Cricetulus griseus: one gene and its partners. The protein of the gene in region 2 interacts with the protein of the main gene of each other region in a biochemical or structural test. Links are inferred from orthologs where the notes say so. Each region holds a gene or a part of one and is shown on either strand. Other genes may lie near its edges.

Evidence for each region.
Region 1: the proteins of Rpa1 (region 2) and Prpf19 form a complex in vitro, tested with the Homo sapiens proteins (2 studies listed by BioGRID, with this or other methods). The link is inferred for Cricetulus griseus from reciprocal best matches to the Homo sapiens genes RPA1 and PRPF19.
Region 3: the proteins of Rpa1 (region 2) and Rfwd3 form a complex in vitro, tested with the Homo sapiens proteins (3 studies listed by BioGRID, with this or other methods). The link is inferred for Cricetulus griseus from reciprocal best matches to the Homo sapiens genes RPA1 and RFWD3.

The regions. Positions count from the first base shown.
Region 1 is NC_048596.1:49,546,722-49,556,442, forward strand, and holds the end of Prpf19 (pre-mRNA-processing factor 19), read right to left. Parts: intron 9,167-9,721; coding exon 8,968-9,166; intron 8,885-8,967; coding exon 8,811-8,884; intron 8,720-8,810; coding exon 8,657-8,719; intron 7,728-8,656; coding exon 7,686-7,727; intron 7,586-7,685; coding exon 7,511-7,585; intron 7,232-7,510; coding exon 7,156-7,231; intron 6,990-7,155; coding exon 6,880-6,989; intron 5,353-6,879; coding exon 5,197-5,352; intron 5,000-5,196; coding exon 4,930-4,999; intron 4,773-4,929; coding exon 4,687-4,772; intron 4,481-4,686; coding exon 4,310-4,480; intron 4,176-4,309; coding exon 4,070-4,175; intron 2,327-4,069; coding exon 2,229-2,326; 3' UTR 1,825-2,228; downstream 1-1,824. UniProt on the Homo sapiens protein: Ubiquitin-protein ligase which is a core component of several complexes mainly involved pre-mRNA splicing and DNA repair. Required for pre-mRNA splicing as component of the spliceosome.
Region 2 is NC_048600.1:88,800,320-88,810,093, forward strand, and holds the start of Rpa1 (replication protein A 70 kDa DNA-binding subunit), read right to left. Parts: upstream 5,146-9,774; 5' UTR 5,024-5,145; coding exon 4,991-5,023; intron 1-4,990. Other genes in the region: SET and MYND domain-containing protein 4, read left to right, coding at 6,609-6,742. UniProt on the Homo sapiens protein: As part of the heterotrimeric replication protein A complex (RPA/RP-A), binds and stabilizes single-stranded DNA intermediates that form during DNA replication or upon DNA stress.
Region 3 is NC_048596.1:187,707,830-187,717,650, reverse strand, and holds the start of Rfwd3 (E3 ubiquitin-protein ligase RFWD3), read left to right. Parts: upstream 1-4,126; 5' UTR 4,127-4,277; exon of another isoform or gene 4,278-4,651; intron 4,652-5,021; exon of another isoform or gene 5,022-5,165; intron 5,166-6,406; 5' UTR 6,407-6,408; coding exon 6,409-6,908; intron 6,909-9,821. UniProt on the Homo sapiens protein: E3 ubiquitin-protein ligase required for the repair of DNA interstrand cross-links (ICL) in response to DNA damage. Plays a key role in RPA-mediated DNA damage signaling and repair.

The DNA of each region.
Region 1 (9,721 bases), on a different chromosome or scaffold from region 2:
GATGCTCCAAGTTCAAGCACAATATAGACCCCCTGTCAGTTTCACAGTAAAAGGACATGGCTTTGAATGTTTACAGACTCAAATGCTTCTAGAGTACACTAAGCACCAATCCATTTCATAGCAAACACATTCTCTTTGTTCACCAGGCCTAGTAAGGCTCCTAGACCCTATACTAGGACTGGTGTGGCTGGTGACTACAGGAAGGTGGAGCCATTTAGAAGCCATCAAGCCCCAACTGAGAGTTGCTTGCTTTATCTCCCATCAGAGCAGCTGCAACTATGAGCAAGAGACCCCCGAGACTGGGCCTATTGACTGTCAATATTCTCTCATACAAGTAGGTGGAGAGAGTCGCTGAACCCTCACTTGTTCCTGCAACTCCTGGCCATCTGTATGTACTATATAAACTGGTATGCTATAAAGAGGGGTGGCTATTTGTTTACATTTCTGGTATTTGCTAGGACTCCCCTATCTGCGCACATACCACATACTTCACACCATTTCTGGCTTTTTTTTTTTTTTTTTTGGTGAATTATCAAGTTTATTGAGATGTGTAGGAATCTGAGCAAGGAGCACAGATGATACAAAGGCAGCTTCACCACTGAAAAGTCCAGCCCAGCATGGGCCATGACTCACCAAAGATGCTCCCTGTGGTCCTGTATCATTTGCAGAACAATTGCTGCTTACCTTGGGGGGGCCTCAGTGATCATTTGACTTCCAAGTGCATCCTGACCTTGTAAGCTGTCTTCCCTCCTGGGCCTTGTGTTTCCCTTACTGCCCAAGTCTCAGAAACCTATTTTCTCTTTTTAGAAAGGACATTTCTGGCTTTTTTACATTAGGCACTAGGGATCGAATTTAGGGTCTCATGCTTGCTTAGAAAGCACTTACCAACTGAACTATGTCCCCAGCCACTGTAAGTTTACTGGATACACTTTCAGGGAGCAGCAGGCTGCACAGTAACTACAACAGATGGTTTCTCTATCCTGGCAGATCGGGTAACTCTGAATTTCCTGGATCCCAGGACTTGCTGGCAGCACATATCCAGAGGCTTTGTGCTGTGCTTACAGTACAGACTATCTTGACTTGTCCACAGCCTCTAGGTGACGCCTCACTTCTCAGCTCTTCCTTCCCAACAGTCTCTCATCTGTACACACAAGCTCCCTTTCCTCACCCCAACCCTGCACACACACCTCACCTCACAGCAGGCTCCCAACACCAGCATCCTGGGGATGGTCCCAAGGCCCTCCTGGGCACACCTAATGGTAACTTGCCCTTCCACTCCACATCTCCTTTATCTTAACCTCAGAACCTACAACTTTTCTCCTCCTCTTTAGCCCCCTGTCCCCAGGTGACTTCCAAATGTAGCACAGTCACAGGACCCTACATTAATCCCCCCTCCCCACCAGGGTTTCCATCTAACTTTTTATTTACTGTGCATTAACTGTCTCCCCTGGGAGCAGCTCTACTTCAGCGGATTAGCTGCCAGTCAAGAAAATCTCTTTGGCCAGCTGGGAACAAGTTTGTATCACCCACAACTGAAGTTCCCCTGACAATCCATTCACAGCAACCACCAACAGGCTAAGGCTAATCTAATTCCTCACCACATTTCATTCAGGCTTGTGAGAGAGTAAGCACAACATGATTGATGGAGGCACTGGAAACAAGGTCCTGCCCGAGCAGGGGAGACTTTTTTGACAAATGGCTTCTAGGCTTTATTTTTGCTGCAGGGGAGGCTTCCTGATAGCCAGTGTCTCACATTTTGGTCTCTCCCCTTGTTCTTCCCAACTCAGGGTCTCTCTGGCAGACGGACGCAAGGAGATGACAATATTTACTGAGTGGATTTTTTTTTTTTAATGAAACTAGATCACTGCTTACAAAAACCAGCACAAGCTCTCCTGCCCCTCCCCTTCACAGTTCCCTTGGCTCACCTCCCTGTCTCAGAAGAGCTGAAACAGAGCAGGCATGGAACAGCTGCCACTGCTGGGGGAGGTGCCGGACTACAACTCTGAGCATTTATAGGGTGACAGTTCCTCCATGTCCGTTCCCTGGGGCCTGAAGGCTGCATGGATAGCAGTGTTCCATGTACCCTAGCTCAGACCATCATCCAGACCAGAATGAAATGACGTGAATGCCCCTGCCCCACCAGACCTCCCTCTTCCTAAGGTCCCACCCGCCCCCCAACTCTAACCCACTACTGAGATGAGGCCCAGAATTGTGAGAAGGCATAGGGCCTACAGACTGTAGAATTTGAGGCTCCTGTCCATGCCAGTTGAAGCGATGAACTTGGCGTGGTGACCAAAGGCCACTCCAGTGGTCAGGCCACTATGCTCTGAGGAGAGAAAAAAGGGAACTATAAGAAAGAAGGCTGTTTCTTCTTCGGGGCTGAAGAATGACATTGAATGCCATGACCCTGGCACAAACCCAGATGGTAAGGGTCAGAAGGCACTGTAAGACACCCTCCCAAAGACAGGGTTCTGTTCACCACTTATTTTAACCAGGACTCAGCACCTGGCAAGAAGCGGAGGTACTCAATCTTTTGTTGGCGGGATAAATTAACAGAGGAATACCAATTCCCTTTCACCTGAGCTTTCTGGGCAAGCATACTTCAGCTGGAAAACTCAGTGTTCATTCAGTATGTATGTTTACCTTTAGCTCTTTGCTTGGACCTGGAATGGTCCATTAGCCAGTTCTAGCTCAAACATGTCAAAGTCCAGGGCACACAATACAGGACTGGATCCAGAATAGAAAAAGCTGAGCTATCTTCCTCACAGGACTCAGATGGAGAACCAGGGCAGGTTCTTTCCAGAGTTAAGAAAACACCCGGATCTCACCAACTCTCCAGAGAAAAGCCCTCTTGTGCTCCCAGCTGGCCTAAACTCAAGGTGATTCTCTAGTTTAGCTATCAAAAATTGAGATTACAGGTGTGAGCTATCACACCCAGCAAGATCCCCTAAAGTTGAGGCTATAGCAGCTACTCAAGGCCATAGGTGACTCTAAGGTGAGAAACCCTCTTGTGCACCACTGTCAGCCTGACTTCCCTTTATTACTTCTAGTTATCCTTGTGTTGTAGTTATACTTGTGTTGGGGCTTGAATACTTGCTACTGTGGGAAAGGCCCCAGACTCCATCTCCACACAAAGGAAAACTGCCTAACTTGACTTTAAACTTCATCACTCACACATGATAGACCCCAATAAAGTTGACAAAAGATAAAAAAAACATGGGCTGGAGAGATGGCTCAGAGGTTAAGAGCACTGACTGCTCTTCCAGAGGTCCTGAGTTCAATTCCCAGCAACCACATGGTGGCTCACAACCATCCATTATGAGATCTGGTGCCCTCTTCTGGTGTGTAGATATACATGGAAGCAGAATGTTGTATGCATAATAAATAAATAAAATCTTAAAAAAAAAAAAAGATAAAAAACATGCCAGGTGTGGTGGTGCACATCTACTGTCCCAGCACTTGGTAGACAAAGACAGGAAGACCTCTGTGAGTACAAGGTTAGCCTGGTCTACAAAGTAAGTTCCAGGACAGCCAGGGTTTGTTATACAGAGAAATCCTGTCTCAAAAAACCAAAACAAACAAACAAAAAAACCTTCATTACTTCCCAGACTGGTTCTTTTTCATTGCTCAAATCAAGAGCCAATACCAAATAATATACCACAAGACACTGCTAACCTATGAGTTGCATGCACTTTCATGTAAACCCCTATATTTCCTACTGAGTGTTTGAAATTATCATTTCAATTTTCCTAAGGCACCAGAGAGATTACAAATTACAGAATTTGCTCCTCAACACACAACTTGGGAGAGGCCAGGTAGTAACACAACTCACAGCCAAACAGACTCACAAATGCTTTTCCTAGGCTACAATGCTCTACTGCCCCCAGACATAAGTAAAAGCAGCCTGGGGGTTGGGCTCAGTAGTAGGAAACTTGGTCAGGTTCCACTCCCAGGACAGCAAAAGTAGGAATAGTTTGGGCCTATCTAGGCCAAGCCCAGAGCTTCACCACCAAGTGAAGCTTCCTAGAGCAGATGTACAAGGCCCCGGAAAGCCACAGCCAGCCTCTACCTGTAAAGTGAAGAATCTCTGTCCACTGTTTGCAGATATAGATCTGGACATCTGTACCCCCAAGAGCCAGGTAGGTACCACTCTGGTCAAAGATCAGTGACTTCACCTGCCAAACCCCAAAGAAAGGCAATTACACAAATGTCAAGCCACAGAACAACTGGGACAAAGAGAAGCAGTTCACATGAACTCAGAAACCATCAGGGAGTGAGGACAAACAACTAAGACTGGGGAGGAGCGCACCTCAAAGTTGTTATCCAGCTGCAATGTCTTAAAGTTCTTCAGCTTGCGTAAGTCCCAGAGCTTGACTGAAGAGTCATCGGCTGCTGTGGCCAGGTAGTACCCATTCTCAGAGAAGGCGATACTGGTAATGGGGCCAGAATGGCCAGGGAAATTGGCCACATTGGTACGCTCCTACAGGTGGTGGTTGGACAAAAAATTATCACTTACGGGTTAAGATAGGAAGGGGCTTACCAAACTTCATGTCCTGTGCACCCACAGTTCCTTGGTGACATTACCATGCCACACAAACAAAGCCAGGCTTTCCTAAGCCTTGAGAAATCCTGGGGCCTGCTGACACACCTCATCAGTTCCTTCTCTAAGAGGCCTGCATGTCCTACCTTCAAGTCCCAGATCTTGATCTGGGAGTCCATGGTTCCTGTTCCAAAGATGAGCCCATCAGGATGGAACTGTGCACAGGTAAGAGCTGAGGAAAGGGGACAGGGATCTGTAGTCAGTAGTCACCGTGGCCTCTACACTGGTGCAGTGGTAAACACTGTCTTTAGAACAAATAAGCAAATGACTAAGTAAAACTTAAAGACAAACTGCAAACAAAAGAGTTCAGTGCCTCTAAGGACACTTACAGCAGCCGGAAGTCTCATCTGTCACCTTGGTGAGCACGCGCCCTGTCTGGATGTCAGAGAAGGCCCAGTACTGGAGGTGAGACAAAGAAGCCAATGAGTAAGCAGGTCTGGTAGCTGAGACCCTGATTCAGCACCTACTGGCAAAGATAGCTCCCACAACAGGGAAAAAACCTTTCCAGAACTCTGGGAATCTGGCTGCCCCAGCAAGATGGCCCTTCCTCCCAGGGTGAGTAGGCAGCCTCCTCAGGGCCCTAGCTGGGACTGTACCTGATCATCAGAGGAACTCAGGAGATAGTCTCCAGTAGCATGGAGGCTGAGGCCTGTCACTGCACTCTCATGGGCTCGAACAACCTGTACACAGGAGGTGTTTGGGACCGACCAAATCCTGATAGTCGCATCTGGGGATGCAGAAAACACCAGTTCCTGAAAGGAAAGCAACCAAGAATCAGATCCTAGGAAGTGAAATGTACTATAACACCCTTTTCCACAGTGAAAAGGACAGCCATAACTACCAGCAACTGCTTCTCCTTCTAGTCCCTCTCTGCCTGTAACCACCTATCTAAACAACAGTGCCTAAGAAAGCCAAGAAAAATAAATGCTGCTGAAATGGCCACACTGAGCCAAGTTGAGACCCTCACTACTTAGTAGTAAACAGGGCAACTGCAGCTGAGAGCTATTTTTGCCCCCTTTTAAAGCTGGGTGGAACTGAGGGACTGGAATCATGTGCACCTGCAGCTAAAGACTACTGGACTAGATGGCACAGATCCGAGCAGACTGAGCCTGTAAAGGAATATAAGGTCATGTTCCCATGTTCCTCACACTTAGACCCAAGGGCATGTTGATTGTCCAAAAGACCTGGGGCAGACAGAGAGCTTATTTAGTTTCCCAAATAAATTATTTCCACTAGTTAGGACAGTAACAGCCAGAATATAACAGCAACTATCCTTTCATTAACACATACTCATAAAAGCCAAAAGTAATACTAACAACGAATAAACAGGAAAAAAAGTACTTCAATTTGAATTAGTTTTTCAGTTTGCTATAGCTGTGATGGTTTGAATGAGAATGGCTCATATATGTGGCTGCTTAATCACCAGGGAACGGCACTATTTGAAAGGATTAATAGTGTGGCTTTGTTGGAGAAGTATCTCATTGGGAATAGGTTGGTTTTGAGATTTCAAAAGCCCATGTCAAACAGTGTGTGTGTGTGTGTGTGTGTGTGTGTGTGTGTGTGTGTGTGTCTGTCTGTCTGTCTGTCTGTCTGTCTGTCTCAGCTACTGGCCCAGTGTCAGGCTTGCCACCATGCTCCCTGCCATGATGATAATGGACTAACCTCTGAAACTGTAAGAAGCAATCCCCCAATTAAATGCTTTCTTTTATTAAGAGTTGCTGTGATCATGGTGTCTCTTCATAGCAAAAGAGCACTAAGACACAAATAGTCCTCTATTTCTCAGTTCCTTAAGTCTAAGAGAAAGACTTAACTGGGAGGCACTGTTTCAGCACCCCATGCAGCTGCATACCAAGCCACAGTACTCAACTCTTATGAGACCATTAATCTCCTCTAATAGCTACCTTTATCCTCTTTTCTATTTGAACTCACACCACTTTCAACAGCCAACATTTAATTTTGAACCCAACCACACAGGGTGTCATGGGAACAGACACCTAGCAGTCAGGACTATATAGAGCTTTACTGTCTGTAGTTTATCTATAAACGCTCTAGGATGTTTGTTTTCTTTTCCTAATGCAAAATTGATGTGAATGTGCTTTGTTGGTTGCATTTTCCTTCTCCTTTGGTTTGAGGGCCACAGCTTTGGGGTTCTACACAGAGACCCATCAATGCCCAGTTCAGTTCATCAAAAAGGTAGAGATTGGGTGATTGGTTCTGAAACTCAAAACTACTGGAACAGGACTTAGGAAAGGACAAGGGTGGCTGTGAAAGTACCTTACCTGAGAAGGATGAAACACCACGCTGGTGACCTTCTTGGTATGGCCTTTAAGAGTGGCCAGGATTTGCTCAGTACTCTTATCAAAGACAACAACGTTTTTATCTGCCCCACCTATAAAATATCCAAAAAAAGACAAAAAAATGAATCAGGCCTATAAGGATCCCAGTGCTAAAGAAGGTCTTTCTGTCCTCAAATCCATGCAGAGAACCAGGGGCTTGCACCTTCCCTTGCTCCTGCCATCTCCCACCTTGACCTATCAGGCCAGGCTCAGACTCACCAGTGAGAATCTTGTTGGTGTCCGAAGGACAGAGGTCCAGAGCAAGGATCCCAGGAATGCTAGCACTGTGTAGCCCCTATGCAGACAGAACCACACAAAATCCAGTCACAGCCAAATCAAGGCAGACCAGAGAGCCACACAGCTCCTCCACTCCCTATACCCTTTGGTATTCCTCCTCAGGCAAGGAACAAGAGTGAATTTTATCCCTTATCCATCCAGCTTGGCTGGCTGCCTGGATGCAGCAACTCCCTCACTGCATGGCAAGAAACCATGTCAGAGGCCTGAGCAGCATTTGCCCCTGCTCCTCATGCTGGCCCATCTTGCCCTAGAAATAGAGTCACCTCCAGCTACTTACCACATGGGATGCCACCTGCCGGTACTTGCTGAGCTCTTCGGGTTTCACCAGCTCCTCAGGCACAGTCTTTCCTCTCTGAGAAAACAGAAAAGACCCCAAAGAGCAGCAATTGAATATAGGTTTCAACTAGCCCCTCCTCCAAAAAGCCAAATGCTCACACCAGGGGTCAACTCACCTTCTTACGCTCCGTGGTTAGAACAGTGGCCTTGTCTTGAAGCTGTGGAGAACAATTTTCTGAGAAATGATTTTGCAAGGACAAAGCACGCTGGGTGCTGGTACATCTGGTATCATAAGCATCACCAAAAACATGCTATTTGCCAGGTTATGTGCTAAAGCTGACACATTTCCACTCTGGTCTTATAAGGTGAGGTATCCATGACCTTATGGTACAACTGAAAAAACTGAACATCAAAAGACTCACCTCCCCCCACCCAAGGTTACTAAAGTGACAAATGGTAGAACTAGTAGGGACAGAGCTAGGCTGTTGTGTTCTGGGACCAGGTCTAAGGTACAAAAATTAGAACTCAGACACTGTTGGACCCCACAAATGCAGACTGTACATTCAACAGAACCCTGCGATGCAGTCTGGAAGCCTGCCTTGCCCCTTCTCAGCTATGACTTACAGTCACAGACTCCTCATCTTAAGATAACTTCTATCTTGTAAGCAAAACCTGTCACAAAGTGGTTTAATATCAGCAAAGACCACAAAAACAGCAAGAGCTATAAGCTGCCCTTATCAGTAATTAAGTCTTCCCTACAACAAGCCTGTGAAGTGCATACCTCACTCTATTTAGAAACAAGGGAGCCGGGCGGTGGTGACGCCTTTAATCCCAGCACTTGGGAGGCAGAGGCAGGCGATTTCTGTGAGTTTGAGACCAGCCTGGTCTACAAGAGCTAGTTCCAGGACAGTCTACAAAGCCACAGAGAAACCCTATCTCAAAAAAACAAAAACAAACAACAACAAAAAAAAGAAGCAAGGAAAATGAGACAGAGAAAGGCAGGCTAAAGTCAGCCTAGTCAGAAAACTCAAGAGTGGCAGGGCAGGCTTTCCACTGCTCAGGGTGAGATTCTTACTCTAGCCCCAAGACCCATGGCACTGAGTTAGGAGGACATGTGGCATTCCCAGCAAAAGAGCATATGACTCACCTTCTGGATAATCTCAGGGGTCATTCCCACCAGCTCACCCAAATCCATGGGCTCTCCTGCACCCTGGAGAAAAGAAAGGGAGAATGGGAGGAACTCACAATACCAAAGGCACCTGTGTAAGGACAGCTATTGGGGCTTGGAATGGAACACTTACCACAACACTGGGCTGTGAGCTTGGCACGGCCTGAGGTACAATAAGACCAGCCTGTGGTTTCAGAGTAGCCAGAGCTGAGAGAAAAGATGATGTTAGAAATGGGACATTACAAAGCAGAGCCAGCAAAGGGTAGGGAACAGCAGGGAAGAGGAGACACCTTCTCGAGCAGCAGTGACTTCCTTCGTGAGACGGGCAATGACTCGGCAGGCAGCATCGTGTTGGTACAGAGCATGGGACAGCTCCTGGCGGGTTGTCTGCAGTTGCTGGCGAAGGGTGAAGCTGTGCAGCATGACTGCATCCTGGGAGGGGGTAGGCCACTGTGAGGACTGGGGGAGAGCTGGAGAACTCGGCCAGCCCTGGAGAAGAGGACACCACCTCCTATTCTACACTGAAGCCAACCTGAACTACTCAGAGACCCAAGCTAACATATGAGTGACCCTGAATGCCCTGTAAGGCATTCAGGCTCCTACTCCACACCACACCCTGGACACATAGACAGAAGCAAGATCTGGCTCCTTCCAACCCCCAGCTTTGCTTTACTTCAGCAGTAAAGCACATATGTTAATGCCATCACTTCTCTGAAAGGAAATAATGCTGCTGTGGTTATTTACTAGCTACCCTCAGCAAGTGCAGTGCTCAGTAATGAAAGAGAGTCCCTGACGTCACAAGGCAAATTTGTCAATTTTATTCTACTTCTTACAGAGTACAGACAGACAGGACTAATCAATGTCCTATAGTCAGGAAGGTCAAGCCTCAGAGACTGAGCAGTGTGCCCCAAGTCACAAAGGCTGACAGTGGAGAAAACTTTGGAATCCAGGTCTGCAAGACTTCCAACAAGCAGGCTCCTCTTGTGCTGCCATCCTGCTCCTCACAAATGAAATATGGCTGGCAAGAAATGAGGGGGCTGCTCA
Region 2 (9,774 bases):
CTATACAAATGGACAATAAAGACACTGAAGGATATTCAATGTCATTCCTAATCAAGGAAATACAAAGATGACAGTGAGCCAGCATTACACTCACACATTCATCAGGATAGCAAAACACAGAGATTGATTGGCACTGAGCAGTGGCAACTAGAATTTTCATAAACACTGTGGAAAAGTTGGAGATTTCTATCAAATTAAGCATTCAGTTACCATATGACCTAGCAACTGCACTCTCAGATATTTATCTGTAAATATCTGGATTACTTTACATATACAAGAAACTTAATACATATTACATAATTTATGTATGTTATGAATAATTTATACGTGATATATTTAAATATTTATATGTAGAAAGATTTTCGCATAAATGTTCAAAGCATCTTCATTTACAATAGCCAAAAAATAAAAATAAAGTTGGGTTTAGTATAGTACAGGCCTGTAGTCCCAGCTATTTAGCAGGTTGAAACAGGAAATGACTGAGGCCAGGAGTTCAAAGCCAATCTGTGTAGCATAATGAGACCGTTTCTCCAAAAAAAAAAAAAAAGCAAAACTGAAAGCACAAATCCCCCATCCTTGTGTACTTTTTGGGGAGGGTATCATACGGACCAGGTTGGCACTGAACTTACTGTGTAGATAAGTACCAATCCTCTCAAGTTCTGAGATGACTGACCCAGACCAACCACCACATTAGAAATTTTGTGCAATGCTGGGGATTAAACCCGGGGCTTCACGAAAAGCATGCAAGCACTCTACCAACTTGGCTACATCTCTGGACCTTTTTTCTTCCTTTATCCTTTTTGAGACAGGATCTTACTATGCAGCCTAAGCTGGTTTTGAATTTTCAACCTCTGCCTTACTTCGTTTACAGAAATGTTCCACAGAACCCAGCTGGAAGACTGTTGTTTTTTAATCCTTATTCATAGTGTGCGTGTAGATCAGAGGACAACATGCATGAGTCAGTCCCCTCCTTCTACCGTGCAGGTGCTGGGGATCAAACTCTGAACATGAGGCTTGATACTTCACCACTGAGCCATGTTGCAGGCCCCCATGAACAACTTTTTCTTTGAAAAGTTATTTCTGCCCTGGGTGTGATAGCTCACACTTGTAATCCCAGCACTACAGAGGTAGGAGGACTACCACAGGTGGAAGCTAGTCTGGGCTCCACAGTGAGGCAGAGGCCATAGACTACATGGCAAGACCCTGTTTTAAAAACACTGTCAGCCAGGCAGTGGTGACACACACCTTTAATCCCAGCACTTGGGAGGCAGAGGCAGGTGGGTCTCTGAGTTCGAGGTCAGCCTGGTCTAAACAGTGAGTTCTAGGACAGCCAGGGCTGCACAGAGAAACCCTGTCTCCCCCAAAAAATAAACAAACAAATAAGCCACTGAGCAAGGTGAAGCAAAGGGCAATGGTTTCATTAAGCACCTTTCCATTCTGTTCAACCTTAAAACCACATCTGTCATTACTTTACTGTTCTTAATTTAAAACGCATCATAAACACTCAAAGGAAAAATATTCTCTGGGACACAGCATAACACAAACACTTAAAAGTATTTAAATTGGGGCTGAAAAGGCGGCTCAAGGGTAAGAGCACTGGTTGCTCTTCCCAGAGATTCTGAGTTCAACTCCTAGCACTCAATGGTGGCTCACAACTGTCTATAACAAAGCAATCTGATGCTCTTTGGTATGCAGAAGTATATGTAGACATAACATCCATATAATATATATATTAAAATTTCCAAAAAACTTACTAGTAAAAATAACGAAGCAACAAAATATAACAGTCAAAGGAATGGACAGTTTATACCTCTTTGCATTTTAACACCTTTGGCTGTAAAAAGTGACATTAATAATAAAAAATGAACTGATATTGGAAATCATAAAAATATTAATTTCCTTGCCTTTTTCTCTCTATAACTAAATTATGTAAAGATATACACAATGGGCTGTCCAGGAGTATAGTTTAGCAGTAGAGTGCTTGCCTAGTGTACACATCTGAGGTCCTGGGTTCGATCTCCACCCCTGGGGACAGTAAGTATATAGTCTTGTACTTATCCTACTTATCACATTAGTTCCAAGCATAACCTCATTTTATCATAACTTCTACCCCCAAATAACTCTATTTTCAGCCATTTGCTTAACCATTTGGGGCCTGAAGCTTTTGTGCTAAAATGACACTTGTTAGCTAATAATCAGGTAACCAGGGGTCTCCACAATCCATCACCGTCAACACATATTAAAACACTATGGAGCCTGGCATGATGGCACATCTTTAATCCCAGCACTCCCAGAAGAGGCAGTTATCACTGTAAATTCAAGGCCAGCCTGGATTGTCTTTAAAAACAAACAAAAACATTTTTTACTTACAAAACCTAAAATAAATAAATAAAAATCCCACGACTTAATGATCAAAGTCTAAGTAGTATTTCACCCAATGTCGGAAACAGTTTTCTAAAATGTTTCTATTTAAGAAAAACTTTATCAAATTATTTAAATAACCCTATGAACATTCTTTTTTTTTTAAGATTTATTTATTTATACAGCATTCTCTGAATGTATTCCTGCAGACCAGAGGAGGGCACCAGATCTCATTATAGATGGTTGTGAGCCTCCATCTGGTTTCTGGGAATTGAACTCAGGACCTCTGGAAGAGCAGCCAGTGCCCTTAACCTCTGAGACATCTCTCCAACCCACGAACATTCTTTTTTTTTTTCTTTGAATTACAAACAAGATTGAATTACATGACAATCCCAGTTCCCTTCTCCCTCCCTTCCTCCCCTACCACCCCCCCCAACTAAAACCCTACCGATTGAATATCCTTTCTTCTAATCTACACCTGACTCAACCTTTCTGCTCCCTCATGACCTCTGCATCTTTCCTCTTCTTCCCTTCTCATTCTCGTAGCTCCCTCCCCCTCTTCCCATGTTCTCAATTTGCTCAGAGGATTGTGACCCTTTCCCCTTCTCCAGGAGACAAAGTTTGTCTCTTTTAGGGTCCTCCTTGTTTACTGGTTTCTCTGACAGTGTGGATTGTAGGCTGGTAATCCCTTACTCTATGTCTAAAATCCACATATGGGTGAGTACATATCATGTTTGTCTTTTTCGATCATTCTTTATAAAAGTAAAAAGTCATTTGTAATTTGCCTTAAGGGTACAAGGTGGCAGCCATAATATTAATCAGGACAATTCAAAACTCAAATCCCAGCTTCAACATTAATACATCCCTAATGTAGCCAAAGAGCCCTTTCTGCTTTCTGACAACTATTTTTCCCGTTTATTTTCTTCTAAGCTGGTTCTTTTCTCCCTTCCACCTTTATCCCTTTCTTTCCATTGTTTCACTCATTCATACATCTAGTAAACATTTACTAGGCACTAAAACTTGAAAGAAGGGACACGGGACGTGGTTGTAGGCCTGTCTCTACAACCTAGTATAGGAACCACAAAGTAATTAATACAAGTCAAATAAACGTGCATTTACATCTGTGATGATGCGATGTTAGCAGGGGATAAACACTAAGTTCAGAAACACAATCCTCTAACTAGCCCTGTGCAATGGGTACTCAGTACCACCCTTATTTTACAGACAAGAGAAAGAGTTCAGAATGTTGCCCAAAGTCATATATACTATAATACGGGAACAAAAAGAAATTAAACGTCTCAAAATAAATGGATTCAGTCTAGTTACTTTGCCAACCAACTCAGTAACAACTGAGCTGAACTGGAATGTCTTTTAGCAAAAAAAAAAAAAAAAAAAAAAAATAGGAATAATGATCAGTAGCCTCTAGGGCAAGAATTTATTTATTTTTTTTTTTTTTAAAAAAGACAAGGCCTGTCAAGGGGTCAGTAAGCAGGGACTGTGGGGAAGAGAGTGTGTTGAATGAAACTGACTAGTTCAGACAACAAATGATTGTTCCAGTGCGATGTAAAATAGAGATCTGTGGGGAGTTAAAACAGACTTCAATTGGTGATGGAGTTAGGCATCCAGTCAGGCATAATGTAGGGAGATGGATTCCTTAGTTTCTAATGAGTATAAATTAAAAAATGGTGTAATTCACTGAGACAGAGACATCCACAAATTCAGACTGAGGGCCAGCAAGAAGGCCCTGTGGGTAAAGGTGCCTGCTGTGCAAGCCTTGATACCTGAGTTCAATCCCCAGAGAAGTGGGGATCTAACCAAAAACTTCAGGAAGTTGTCCCCTGGCTTCCCAGGCACATTCGCCATCCCCACCACATCAAACATATGCACTCGTGCATATACATACATTCACACGTAATTCTTTTTAAAATTCAGACTAAAGGACATAATGGATTTGCTGATATATGTTCAATTTGAGATGACTCTGAGGGTAGAGGGCAGAGAGAGTCGTTTAGATCGAAGGTAGCTCAGCAGAAAAAAATTAAGAATTGACATGCAGATGAAGACCTAGTCTACACAGGGCTTTGAGTCAACAAAAACTTACATACGGGCCTGCAAGGAAAGAGCTGCCGACGTTAAGTCACAGAACCCTAGCAAGAGAGTAGTGTTAGCAGAAAGAAGCAATGGCCAGCAAGCCCAAACAATAAGGTCAGCTGAAAACCGAAAAACGTCTTCCGACTTGGCTACTTGGGAAGCCACTGGCGACTTCTGACAACGTTTTCTCTCGTGACCAGTGAAAAGTCTAATCTGAGTCAAGAGTTGAGGAGGTAAAGAAAACAAACAACTCTAGAAAAGTTTGGAGGTGATGCGAAAGAAAGGAAAGAGAGGCCGCAGAAGGTAAATAGGAGCATGTTTGTCTAGTTTTCGTAGGCAGTAAAAGAAACGTGAGCTTGTATGCGGAACCGGGATGCCTCGCGGAAAGAGTATTGACCAGAGACCCCGGGAGGCTTCCCCCGAGGCCACGCAATATCCTCCCCGAGGCTCTCCCGTCTGCTCCCTCCCCTGTCTGCTCTGCACCGCTCCAGGCCCGTGCTGCCAGAGCCATCGGCCCGGTCCCGGGTTGTCTCCTTACCGCAATGGCCCCCTCGCTCAGGTGTCCCACCATGGCTGCCTCACTAACTCCCGCGCTGGAGCTCCAGCACTGCCCGAGCTTCACTGCCGGGGTACCGCGGGCTGCTCACCGATTGGTCAAAGCCTCTGTGCGTGCATCTCCCAGCCCCAACGTGCGCGCGGTACGAGGGGCGGGCCTAGGCGCCGGCAGCCACCCCATTGGCTACCGCGCGGCGGGCGGAGCACGTGACCCGTGAGGCCGGGTTCGAGGCCTAGTGGCGGGATGGCGGGATGGCGGGAACCGAGGGCGGGGCGCTGGACCACGGTACGACTGTGTCTGCGCGGTGCGGCTGAGCGGGTCTCTTGCCAGCTGTCGGAAGTTTGCCCGCCCGTTTGGCGGTTGGACAGAATGGCAGCCCAGGGGACAATCGGACCTGTGCGTTGGTAACTCTGCTGCTAAATATAGTCAAAGCAGTGACTTGAGTCCTTCATCACGCAGTGCGTGCCCCGTTCGCGTGCCAGGCCCAGAGCTTGACACTGTGGGATAAACAAGGTAAATCAGACTCAGTCCCCGCCCTCAGAAGAGCGTTGTCCGACCTGGGATTTGAGGCACCATGAGCCCCGCCTCAGGGGAGACGCGATAAAGGTCACATGTGTGGTGAAGTTCCGGGGTGGGGGAGGGGGGATCAGTGAAGCTTTGGAGAGGAGATGCGGTTTAAACTGAGTCAAATTGCATGGGAATTTGTCAGATGGATTCCTAGAGAGGGTAATGGTGTTCCTAAAAGCACGAATGGCCTACGCAAAAGTACTGGAGAGTCTGGAGTGTTGTCTGTAATTCCAGCCCCTGGGATGCGAAGGCAGCAAAAGTTCAAGGTCATCCCTAACAACACTGTAAATTCGTGGTCAGCCTAAACTACATGAGACCCTCAAAAATAAAAATTTGGGGATCTGGAGTGGTATACTGCTCAGGAGGTAGAAGCAGACAGATTTCTGTGAGTTTGAAGCCAGCCAGGGCTATATAGGAAGACCCGATCTCAAAAAGAAATAACAAAACAAAACAACAACAACAAAAAAAAACAGCAAAAGCCTGAGCTATGAGCTGAAAGAAAGATCTGGAGGTTGAAACAGAAAACTGAACCATCTTAGAAATTAAAATTTTGCTGGGCGTTGGTGGCGCATTCCTTTAATCCCAGGACTAAGGAGGCAGAGGCAGGCGGATCTCTGAGTTCGAGGCTGGCCTGGTCTCCAGAGCGAGTGCCAGGACAGGCTCCAAAAAAAAAAAAAAGAAAGAAAGAAAGAAATTGAAACTTTAACTTCATAGTTGCTGGGGTGAAGGCCTTGGACAACTAGGGTAAATAGGTCTAGAAAGACTGGAATATGAATCCAAAAATATGTTTATATAACCACTATCTACCATAGTTTCTCGAACAGTCTTCCAAAGAATATTTCTGCGTGACAGGATGTCCAGTGACTTGGTACCACCGATTCTATCTGCTTCGGCATATCAGAAACTATAGAGAAGACCTGAAGAGTTGATTTTGCTGCTTCTCACTTGCTTGGATGAAATCTCCATTTTTCTACAATTGTGCATTTATAGAAAGCTGAGTGCTTATTTTCTGACATTGCAGAGCTAAGACAGCATGGATTTGCCTGTGGATGAGTGGAAATCCTACCTTCTTAACAAGTGGGCTTTACTCCCGAAGTCTGTGCAGGACGAAATTTCTACAGCAGAGACTTTGAGTGGCATCTTTCTTCATTCCTCTTCCCTTCTTCAGTAAGTGAATGGAAACCTTAGGGAAATTTTGATCTGGAAAACGTTGTCTCTTGTCATTTGATCTGAAGTTATATCTTGTTCTGATTGGAAGAGTAGCTTTGTGTTTTTTGTATTATGGGGCACTGAGCAGTCCTTGTCTGTTTTCACATTTCTCCCTAGTCTGTGATTACAGAATGTGTAGGGATGACTAGTTTGCTATTTTGGTATGGGTTATATTTCAGGAATTTAGTGTCTTGCTGTAGTCCCAAGGCCATAAACCTTTCTGTCACTCAAAGACTATATGGTGCATATTGTGTAGCTGCCCAAAGAAATTCATTAAATGCGATAGTTGGGAAAGAACCCTAAAGGTCATATAGTCTAGCCCCAGTAATTTTCAAATTCTATGGGCTACATTCATTAGTAAAATAAACATTTTACATCACAACCTAATAAACATGTGCATATGTAGAAAACAGTGGAATTTCCCATTTCAGTTATTCAATTAATATTATTTTTAATTTTGAATATTCTGAAATTACATCATTTCCTCCCTCCAACCTTCCCATGTACCCCTTCCCACCTTGTTCTTGCTCTCTCTCAAATTCATGACCTCATCTTATTTTAAGTTATAGTGTATGTGTGTGTGTGTATTTCTAAATATATAACTACAATCTGCCTGTTTGTATGTGTATGACTTTAGGACTGACCACTTGGTACTGAATAGCCAACTAGAGGCTGGTTTCCTGGAGGAGACTGTTATTTCTCCCACTCTCAACATTCCTTAGTTGCTTGTAGTATATCTAACATTGGGCCCCTGTGAGAATTTTTCCCCCTTTCAGGTTAACCTTTATATTGGTGTCATCCTTATTCAGTCAGGTCTTGTTTAGGCAGCCATGCTGTTGAGTCTTCATAGGTGTAGCTCCCCTGGCATTTCTAGGAGATGCAATCTCATAGCAGACTTTCTGTGGCTCTAAGAGTCTCTTTCCACCCTCTTCTTCCTCCATGTTCCCTGAGCCTTAGCTGCAAGAGTTATGTTGTAAATGTATCAGTTGGGGCTGAGCACCACATGATCACTTGTTCAGTCAATATTATTGATTGCTCAGTGGCAATCAATAATATTAGCCCCTGCACTCTGGAGGCAGTAGACTGGTCTATTTAGAGAGTTCCAGGCCAGTATGGACTATATAGTGAGATCCTGTCTCAAAAAAAAAAAAAAAATAGTGATTGTTTCAGTAGCACATATAATAAAAATTGGGACAAAAACATCAAATGACAAAGATCACCAGGAAAGGAGATGAGTGTATTTGCACCCAGCAGATTCAAGCAATAGCACAAAAGCTCAGCTCGTCTGCATCACAGCAGAATGAGCTCAGAGAGTAGACAGAAAATAGTAACAGACACAGTGGGTACTGGGGAAACACAGGTGGCACATGCTATAGGAAGTAATGACCTCAGACAATCACAGAAACTGACGTCTGCCAGCAACCCAGTGAGCCTGGGAGTCTTTCCCAGGCCTTCCAAAGAGGATTCTCACATTGTAAGAACCTGAGCAGAGAGGCTCAGGTTTCTGACCCACAGGACTGTTCAGGTAATAAATGGCAGCTGTGTTGAGCTGCTCAGTTTGTGGAATTTGTTGAACAACAGTAGAAAACTAGTTGTCGGAGGCTTGAGGGAAGAGTAATGTGAGATGACTGTATTTTCAAGTAGAGATGAGCAAACTAAGACTGCCAGATAAGGTCCATCCAACTGTATGTTTTCTCTTAGGACCACAACTAAGAATGCTTTTACCAGATAAACATTTGCAGTTCATTTTAGGGTAAGGAGCATTGGCCTTGAACCCTAATTAAGCAAAAATAACATGGGTTATGTTTTTGTTTTTAATAAAAAAGGCCAGTGAAATGGCTTAGCAAGAAAATGCTTGCTTCTGTAGGAAACAAGCCTGACCATCTAATATGCAAGCTTGGTGACCTGAGTTCAATCCTTGAAACCTAAAGTTCAATCCTACCACATAAAGGTAGAAAGAGAGATCCAACTCCACACAGATGCTGTCGAATATGAATACACACACAACACTAACAATAGTAATAAATAGAAATTCCAAAAAGAAAATAATCCCATTGTTGTCATTAGTAGACTTATATTATAAAAATTATATTCTACTATTATATTTTAAATTTTGTCAAAAGAAGAAATCTGCTTGCTGAATGAATAACTATAATAGCTTAAAATTTTCTTCTTGGTTTACAAAGCCTAAATAATCTAGCCTTCTACATGAAAAGTTGGCTGAGCCCTGATTCTTCTTTTTAATGATTTTCTATTTAAATTTCTTTTACTTTTGTGTATGTGTGTGTGGCATATGCATGCACGTGCCACAGCTTACATGTGGAAGTCAGAGGACAACTTTGCCAGGTGGTTCTTTCCTTCTATCATGTGGGTTCTAGGGATTAAACTCAGGTCATCAGACTTGGCAGGAAGTGCCTTAGGTCTGAACAATCTCACTGACCCTGAGCCCTGTTTTAAAGCTTCACTGTCTGCCGTGTTAAGGACAGACAGCAGAAGGAGCCAGAGTAGAAGCAGAGACACTGGAAGGCCACTGCTATAACCCCAATGAGAAGATGAATGTAGGCCAAAGTGACCGTAGTTAGGGTAGGAAAAAGCATTTGGATTCTGAGGTAGATTTAATAGCAGTTCTTGAGATGAAATGTGTTGTGTAATAGAATGTGAGAAGTAACATGGCCCCAGGGAGAAGGTAGAGGATGATGTTGCCATATCTGGTAACCACATATGGGGAACAAAGATCCATACTTCATATTTGAGTTGCATGTGTCCAGTGGATACCTAATGGCAATGTTTAAACATGTTTGGAATTTAAGAAGAGGCCTGGGAAAGAGATACAAACCTGGGAGAGCTCTGTGGCCTTTAGAACCATCAAACTGGTGAAGTCACCCAGCAAGAATGTGTGGATGCTCACTGCCTGTGCTGTACTGTGACTGTTCACCCTCTGTTTACCTCATTTTGAAATGCTAATCAGAACCCACTAAATTCATTTCATG
Region 3 (9,821 bases), on a different chromosome or scaffold from region 2:
AGATCTGGTGCCCTCTTCTGGTGTGCAGATATACATGGAAGCAGAATGTTGTATACATAATAAATAAATAAAATCTTTAAAAAAAAGTGTCTGAGTTAAAAAAAAAACAACAAATAGAAAACAATTCCACTGGGGCTGGAGAGATTGCTCAACAGTTAGGAGCACTGGCTGCTCTTCCAGCACCCACATGGCAGTTCATAACCGTCTGTAACTCCTGTTCCAGAGAATCTGACACCTCATGTATATATAAAGGTGGGCAAAACACCAATGCACATAAAATAAATAAATTATTACAAAAGAGATTAGAAAGAAAACCTATGCCAAGTTCATGAGACCCCACACACACACCAAAAAGTACACCAAGGAGCCAACTCACTAATGCAAACGCACAAGGTTTAATGTTAAATTACAAGCCTCAGCAGGAACCCTGTCCAGCAAACTGGCACAGCAGCTGCAGGAAAAGGGGTGCCTGGCCTCAATTGCAAGGGGTTTATAAAGGAAAATCTCGAAAGCAGGGTGGTACGTGCCTTGGCTGTTCAGGATTGGGTAAGAGTAGGTGACCTTTGGATTCATTGACATGGGGGCGAGGGGAAGTAGGGGAGATGGAAGGGCAGGAAGAGAGGGAGAGGGAACTGGGGTTGGTATGTAAAATGAAAAATAATTTTTTAAAATAAGAAAAAGAAATACCATGATCCTTACAACTCTTATAAAGGAAAACATTTAATGGGGTGGCTTACAGTTTCAGAGGTTTAGGCCATTATCATCATGGTAGGATAAGGAAGCGTGCAGACAGACATGACGCTAGAGCTGAGAGTCCTACATCTTGATCAGCAGACAACAAGAAGTGGTTTGAGACACTGAGCGTGACGTAAGCATATATGAGACCTCAAAGCCCTCCTCAAACAAATCCATCCCTATTCCAACAAATTCACACCTCCCAATAGTGCCAGTTCCTATGACCTCATGGGGACCAATTACATTCAGACTACCACAACCACTAAATAATCTCTCCCGTCCCTTTTGCTTTTTAGGACAGGTTCTTACTCTGTAGTCCAGACTGTCCTGAAACTCCCTACGTAGCCCATGCATGCTCAAACTTATAGTGATCCTTGAAGTTTCAGTACCTTGAATCCTGGGATGTTAGGTGTGAGCTAACACAACCAGCTAGGATTTAAATTCCTTACCAAGATTATTATTATCTGTCCATGGCAATTTGTAAGCAAAACCTCCCTGAACTAGTAGTATCTTCCCATATATTTCTCTTCCATCATCTCCTGCCTTTGAGAGTCCCAAATTCCTTTCCTTTGTTGCATCATTTCTCCATAGATGCATTGTTTTCTTGTTAACAATGCTATATATGAAAGAATTCTATGCCATTGCTTCTTATTTTTTATTTTAGTTTTAAGACAGAGTCTTACTTTATAACTCAGACTAGCCTGAATCTCAAGGTCCTCCCCTAACAGCCTCCTGAGTGCTGGGAGTACAAGCAGCTAAGCCACCCTTTGAGATGCTTGCCACTGAGCTTCTCCCACATGCTGGACACTGGCAAGGCTGGAACACTTTGTTCTTCTGCAGCTCATCTTTTGTTCCAGGAGTCTACTCCAGCTTGTTAGCTTAAAGGGTACTGGAAGTATTAAAGCGTTAAGTGTAAATCATGACTGGATATCCTATCAGAACACTTAGAATGTTTACTTTTCACTGAGAAGCCCTTTACATTGTCTAAATTTCTTTAACCATGTAGTACTAATGTATTATTATTATTTCATTTTTATTATTATTCAAGTACTGCATCTTGAACCCAGGGCCTCAAAGATGCTAGATAAATACTATACCACTGTGGTATACTTACTAATTTCTTAATTAAAAAATTTGCTGGAAATTACTCAGTATTGATGTTTTTCGAGACAAGAGTTTCACTGTAGCTTTGGAGCCTGTTCTGGAACTCACTCTGTAGACCAGGCTGGCCTCAAAAATACAGATATCCTCCAGCCTCTGGATTAAAGGCATGTGCCACCACTGCCCAGCCAATGCCCAGGTGAAAAGTAATTTAGTGCTGGAGAGCTAGAGAGATGACTCGGCAGTTAAGAGCATTGGCTGCTCTTCCAGAGGACCTGGCTTCAATTCCCAGCAATCATATGGTAGTTCACAACTGTCTGTAACTTCAGTTCCAGGGGATCTGACACCTTCACACAGACATACATGCAAGCAAAATACCAATTCACATAAAATACAAATAAATACATAAAATTGATGCTGGCCTTGGTAACAAGTGTAGAGAAGAAAAATTTGAAAAATTATTTCTATTGCTCTCTACTACCAATTCTTCTAAAAATTGGTAGCTGAATAAAACTGTGGCAATGTACACTCTGTGTCTGAAGTTTTGCTTTTAAAAACCTACAAGTGGGGGTGGAGAGATGGCTCAGTGGTTAAGAGCACCAGCTGGTGGTCTTCCAAGAGGTCCTGAGTTCAGTTCCCAGCAACCACATGGTGGCTCACAACCATCTGTAATGAGATCTTGTGCCCTCTTCTGGCCTGCAGGAATACATGCAGGCAGAACCCTGTATACTTAATAAGTAAATAAATAAATAAATATTTTTAAAAAAAGAGCACTGGCTGCTCTTATTTTTTTTTCCCCAAGAGATGATTTTTTATTAGTTAGAAACAAGGCTGCTTCACATGTCAATCCCTTCTTCCTCTCCCTCCCCTCCTCCCAACCCCCCACTAGACCCCACCTCATTCCCTCTCTGCTCCCCAGGGAGGGTAAGGCCCTCTATGGGGGTTCTCCAACGTCGGTCATATCATCCTGAGCAGGGCCTAGGCCCTCCCCCATGTGTCCAGGCTGAGAGAGCATCCCTCCATGTGGGATGGGCTCCCAAATCCCCCCCCTTTTTTTTTTTTTGGTTTTTTGAGACAGGGTTTCTTGTGTAGCTTTGGAGCCTATCTTGGCACTCGCTCTGGAGACCAGGCTGGCCTCGAACTCACAGAGATTCGCCTGCCTCTGCCTCCCGAGTGCTGGGATTAAAGGTGTGCGCCACCATGCCCGGCTTCCAAAGTCCTTTCTTATGCCAGGGACAAATACTGATCCACTACCAGGGGCCCCATAGAGTACCGGGGCCTCCTCATTGACATCCATGTTTAGGGGTCTGGATCAGCCCCGTGCTGGCCTCCCAGACATCAGTCTGGGGTCCATGTGCTCCCCCTTGTTCAGGTCAGCTGTTTCTGTAGGTTTTACCAGCCTGGTCCAGACCTCTTTGTTCTTCATTCCTCCCTCTCTGCAACTGGGTTCCAGAGTTCAGTTCAGTAGTTCAGTGTTTTGCTGTGGGTGTCTGCCTCTGCTTCCATCAGCCACTGGATGAGGGCTCTCAGCAGAGGTCAGGGCCTAGCACTGGCTGCTCTTAAAACAAAACAAACAAAAAATCTAAGGAAGATTTCTTCTTTCAGAGACATGATTGAAAAAATCTTGTGCAGCAATTTAGACTTCCTAGGTAATTTATTGGAATAATTTTTTTCTTTTTCTTTTTTTGGTTTATCGAGACAGGGTTTCTCTGTGGCTTTGGAGCCTGTCCTGGAACTAGCTCTTGTAGACCAGGGTGGCCTGGAACTCAGAGATCCACCTGCCTCTGCCTCCCGAGTGCTGGGACTAAAGGCATGCGCTACCACCGCCCGGTTTGGAGTGGTTTTAAAGTGAAGAAATTGGAGAATTTTCTTCCTCAGTCTTCTTCCTGCTAGACTGTTCAAATGCAGAACGGTTTTTAAAAAGAGAGAGAGAGAGAGAGAGAGAGAGAGAGAGAGAGAGAGAGAGAGAGAGAGAGAGAGAGAGAGGAGAGAGAGAAAGAAAGAAAGAAAGAAAGAAAGAAAGAAAGAAAGAAAGAAAGAAAGAAAGAAAGAAAGAAAGAAAGAAAGAAAGAAAGAAAGAAAGAAAGAAAGAAAGAGAAAAAAAAGAAAAGCAAGAAAACTCTTAGGCTCTACCCCTTTAGGGGCTGGGCACGAGATGACGGACATGAGTTTCTACCAATTGTATGAGACTTCCTTGCATGAAGTTCTGGCCAAGTAAGTATCAAGAGCCGGCCAATGAGAGCGCCACTATTTCAGCCAGCGGCGACCAATGGAAGAAGAAGAGAGGGGATTGGTCGTCGCCATTGGTGGCTGACAAATGGGAGCTCGCTGAGCCGCGAGTACTGCAGAGTTGTTTGGCGCGGAGGCGACCCGAGTTTTCGCGGTAACGACAGCACAAGTCGCGGTCGGTCGGGGCGCGGACGTGGCCCCTGCAGTTTGAGGTGAGGCGAGTACCTGCTTCTCCTCGGGCCTCGTGTCCCTGGATGCGGATTGTCTTCTCTCGGCCCGTGCCTGGTCGCGGGGCCTAGTCAGGTTGGCTGAGGGCGGGTTGGGAACTCAGCGGTCTCCTTCGTCCGGAGCTCCTCGAACCTGCTTCCTGCATTCCCGAGGAATATGGGGGTCTGGGGCGAGAAAGGCGGAAACGACGTGAATCTCCGGAGGGAGCTGAGGCGCGGTTCGGCATGCTCTGGTTGCCGGCTCCAGACGGAGTAGTTCTCCAGGTGTCGTCCCCCCCCCCCCCGTACTCATTGGCCCTTGTTACTGGCTGTTTAGCAGAACTGAAAATTTACCTCCACCCCTCCAGTGTAGCTGTGACGTAAGTGTTTCCTTTATCTCTTTTCTGCGGGTGAGCAGGCTTGCACAGACAGGAAACTTACTTTAGGTTTTCAGGTACTAAAAGGGGGAACCTTTATCTGAACCCAGGTCAAACTGAATCCCCACGGCCTCCCGACGTCCTGTTTATTGGGGCCCCCCACCCCTGCCTTGTGGTTGCCAAGCTTCCTTGTAAGATGGCAGATATGAAGTTCACGGTTTTGGTTTTGTTTTGTTTTGTTTTGTTGTTCGGTTGGTTTTGTTTTTTTGAGACAGGGTTTCTTTGTGTAGCTTTGGAGCCTATCCTGGCACTCGCTCTGGAGACCTGGCTGGCCTCCAACTCAAAGATCCTCCTGCCTCTGCCTCCCAAGTGCTGGGATTGAAGGTCAACCTCCTGCCTCTGCCTCCCAAGTGCTGGGATTGAAGGTCAGCGCTGCCAACGCCCGGCCTAAGTTCACGTTTTGAGTGCCGCTGACGTTTCGTGGTCATCAGTCTAGCGTTTTTGTAACGTGCTGAAGGTAAAGAAGCAGTGGGGCCCGTGGGTTTGCTTTAGACAAAATCCTGGGTTCGTGTACAGGATTTGGGGAAAGGTGTTTATTGCTTTCTACCAGTGCGATCGAGGAACTAACTTAATTGTAAACTTCAAATGGCTGGCTGTAGGAAGTAAACACGAGTGGACAATTGTGTGGTCCTTACATTCTGCCTTTATTGATTCAATCCTGACTTTTTTTTTTTTTTTTTTTTTTTTTTTTTTTTTTTTTTTTTTTTTTTTTGGTTTTTGGTTTTCGAGACAGGGTTTCTCTGTGTAGCTTTGGAGCCTATCCTGGCACTTGCTCTGTAGACCAGGCTGGCCTCGAACTCACAGAGATCCACCTGCCTCTGCCTCCCAACTGCTGGGACTAAAGACATGTGCCACCACTGCCCGGCTAGACTTTATTTTTAATTAATTAAATTTATTTACTAAAATAAAGTTTTGCCAAGTAGTTCGCGTTTTTGAAACCTGCTTTGTAGTTCAAATTGTAGCCCAATTCCCCATTCTCCTGCCTCTGCCTTCTCCCTGCTGGTGCTAAGATTACAGATAATGTCACCAAGCCCAGCAAGTTTGGCTTTGATGTAATTGTATGTGTGCCTGGATTAATGGAAATACCTGTGTATACTAGGTTACTACTAAGCATTAGTAGTAGTCCCCAGTCTCACTTACAGTTTTTCTCAAAGAAATTTAAATTTTATCTTGCAAATGTAAAAATGTCTTCTGTGGCTTGCCTGAGAGTAGGTGGGTGGAGCTAGGTTGTAGAGCAATATACTTAGTGTGTACAAAGCCCTGTATTCAGTCCTTCAGCACCACATGTACCAAAAAAATGGCATTTCTGTATATCCTTTGTTACTATTTTTTCCCCCTTGCTTTTTGGAGACAGGGTTTCTCTGTAGTTTTGAAGGCTGTTCTGGAACTCACTCTGTAGACCAGGCTGGCCTTGAACTCGGGATCTCCGAGTTCAAGGCCAGCCTCTGCCTCCCGAGTGCTGGGAATAAAGGCTTGAGCCACCAATGCCCAGCTTCCTTTGTTACTTTTGATGCTATGAAAGATTAATATTACCTGTCATGCAGTATTATGTTTGTTTTAAATCCTCTGTTTTGCTAGAAAGAATCTTAAACAGAAATTCTGAAAGACTAGTTATATCAACTATATAACATGTTCTTTTGTTTGTTGTTGTTGCTTTACCTATTTTACTAACATGTTTCACAAATACTCTGTCCCTAGTGATGGCTCATGAAGCAATGGATTGTGATCTTCAAGTACCAATAGATGGTACTATAGAACAGGCTCCTCCAACTGAAGTTAGCAGCCAAGGGGCACCTCTCCTCCAGCCTGCCCTTGCTGAAGTGGCCAATAGCCAGGGAGGAGCACTTGGTCAACTTGGGCCTGCTGAAGTGGTCAGCAGCCAAAGCGGACTGCAGCCTCTGCCACCAGCATCCATTGACTTAACAGAGGAAATACAGCCCTCAGAAGAAAATATGGAGACTGCCAATCCAGGGACTTCTGAGGAGCGTAGAGAGGAATCTGGTGCTAACCAAACTGTCCGAGCTGCTACAGAAGTTTCAATGAACAACTTCATCAGCGGGCTGCAGAGACTTCATAACATGCTGGAATTGCTGAGACCTCCACCTTCAGACCATAGTGTGGGGCCAGTGAGAACGAGGAGAAGAGCGGGATCTATTTTGAGGGCAAGAACTGGAGGGTCTCAGAGGCCACGTGGTGCCAGGTAAACTATAAATTAGATGATTGATGCCACTCTATGAATTGTAAAACTCAGATTCTGGATACCTCAGGTGCAACCAAAGTTAACTTTTCAGAATTCCCCCTTCCTGATGATAGATCCATAAAATTAGTGCTTGCCATTTTTACTTCTTTTAGTATTGAGGGGATAGTTTCGGTTATGTGCTTTGAAAACTAAGGCAAGTTTGTCAGCAATAATATTTACTGAAGGTTGGCCTTTTATTTTTAATTTTTCTTCATTATATATACAGTGTTCTGCCTGCATATATGCCTGCAGGCCAGAAGGGAGCACCAGATTTCATTATAGATGGTTGTGTGTCACCATGTGGTTGCTGGGAATTGAACTCAAGACCTCTGGAAGAGCAGGGAGTACTCTTTTTTTTGTTTGTTTGGTTGGTTTTTTTATTTATTTATTTTTTCAAGACAGGGTTTCCTTGTGGCTTTGGAGGCTGTCCTGGAACTAGCTCTTGTAGACCAGGGTGGTCTAGAACTCACAGAGATCCACCTGCCTCTGCGTCCTTGAGTGCTGGGACTAAAGGCGTGTGCCACCACCGCCTGGCTACAGGGAGTACTCTTAACCTCTGAGGAGCCATCTCTGCAGCATCCCCACCTCCACCTTTTATTTTTTAATTAAAATGTTTTCACATATGTATGGAGTGTGTGCATGGGTATTGATGCAAGATCTCAGTTGAACCTAGAACTCCCCCATGTGGCTAGGTCAGTTAACCAGCTTTCTCTGGGAATCTCTTGTCACCTGTGAATTATAAGTAGCCCTCACCACATTTACAGATGTTCTGGGTATTTGAACTCTGGTCCTTAGGCTTGAATGGCAGGTGATTTATTTGCTGAGCCATCTCCTCAACCATGGTGTGCACCTACCCTACTTAAAGATTTATTTATTTTTAAATTCTGGGTATTGTGATGCATGCCTTTAATCCTAGCCCTTAGCAAACAGATCTCTGTAAGCTTGAAGATAGCATGTTCTACATAGACTCTGTCTCAAAATAATAATAATCTAAGTATGAGGGGTGGATTGTAGAACAGGTGTTGAAAGATGTGTTGTTAGCCAAGCCATTTGATGGATAGTCATGTAACTTTCTCTGCAAGTGAGTAAACCTAAAAAGTCCAAGGCTCTGCAGCTTCCTGGAAAGAATGTGGATTCTCTAACAAGATAAATACAATACTAAAATTCTGGGTTTTAAGCAAATTCTACACTAAATCTGTGTAGCTGAATTTTCCTAGGACTGGTTGCTTCAGACTTCTGAACTATATTTTTGTTCTTTGTTTGAAGGTAGGGGTTTTTGATTGTTCTTTGTTTTTTGAGACAGGGTTTCTCTGTAGCTTTGGAGCCTGTCCTGGAACTGGCTTTGTAGACCAGGCTGAACTCACAGATTTACCTGTCTCTGCCTCCCAAGTGCTGGGATTAAAGGCATGTGCCACCACTGCCCAGTTTTGGTTTTTTACATGTACTTATTTGTTTGTATGTATATGAGCTCACTCTTGGCTCAGCATGGATGTGGATGTTAAGACAATTTTCTGGAGTTGGTTCTGTCCTACTATGAGTCCCCAGTTAATTAAACTCTAGTGATTGGCTTGCTCAGCCATCTTCACCAGCATTACATAGGGTTTTTTGGTTGGTTGATTTTGGTAATTTTTTTTTTTCTCCAATGAGATACAGTCTTATTATATAGCTTAGGCTGGTCTGGTAAAAGCCTCCAACTTCCACTTCATGAGTGCTGAAATTATAGGTATTGCCACCATACTGTCTTCTGAATTTCTGAAATTTAGGTGAATTTCTTGATGCAGTGTTCGACATTGACCCACCTGATAGACTCCCTGGGGCCAAAATGAGCTGTTTCTGCCTTAGACCTAGCCAGGAGGCCAATTTGAGGAAAAAAATTAAATAGTGAGCTGATCTTCCCAACAGACCCCTAAGCCACGGTTATAAACTCCATCCTGCTTGATTCTAGCTGCCAAAGCCATCATTTATTCATCAAATATTATAAGTAGTATGTGAAATTGAATTTTACCTTAGAGATATTGATAGACTAGAGGTACCTGTTATCACAAAGCTAAGGAAAACTAGGACTATACATAATAAAACCTAAATGTATTCTTTAACTCAAGAACAGTTTGGGCTGAAGAAATGGCTTAGGACTTGGCTGCCGCTCCAGAGGACCAAGATTTGAGTCTTAGTATCCACATAGCAGCAAATAACCATCTAATAATCCCAGTTCTAAAGGATTTGGTGTCCTTCTTCTGACTTTTATACTACATGAATGTGGTACACAGACATCCATGCAGGCAAAATGCCATAAATGTAAAAAAAAAAAAAAAAAAATCTTAATGAGTGTCGTGCATGCCTTTAATCCCAGCACTTTTTAGTCCCACAATGAGGATGGATCTTAGAATACAAAGCCGGGAGGTGGTAGCCCATACCTTTAGTCTCAGCACTCAGGAGGCAGAGACAGGTCTGTCTCTTAATTTGAGGTCAGCATGGTCTACAGTTGGAGCTCCAGGACAGCCAGAGCTACAGAGAAGCCCTGTCTCACAAAAACCAAAACCAAAAAGAACTAAGCTTAATTTAAAACAGGTATAAAAGGATTTCTTTAGTTTAAAGAAACCCCTAACTAAGGAGCTGTATCAGATTTTATAGAGTTTACCTACTATGCACTAAGACCTGAATTTGATTCCCAGCATCAATGAATTGGGAATGGTAGTGTATACCTTTAATCCCAACTTGGGAAGTAGAACAGGAAGATGAAAAATTCAGTGTCATCCCTGGCTACATAGCAAATTAGAAGCCAACTAGGGCTACTTGAGACCTGGTCTATTAAAACAAACAAACGACAAATAACCCCACTGCTGTGGTAACGCTTGCCTTTAATAGCAGCACTTG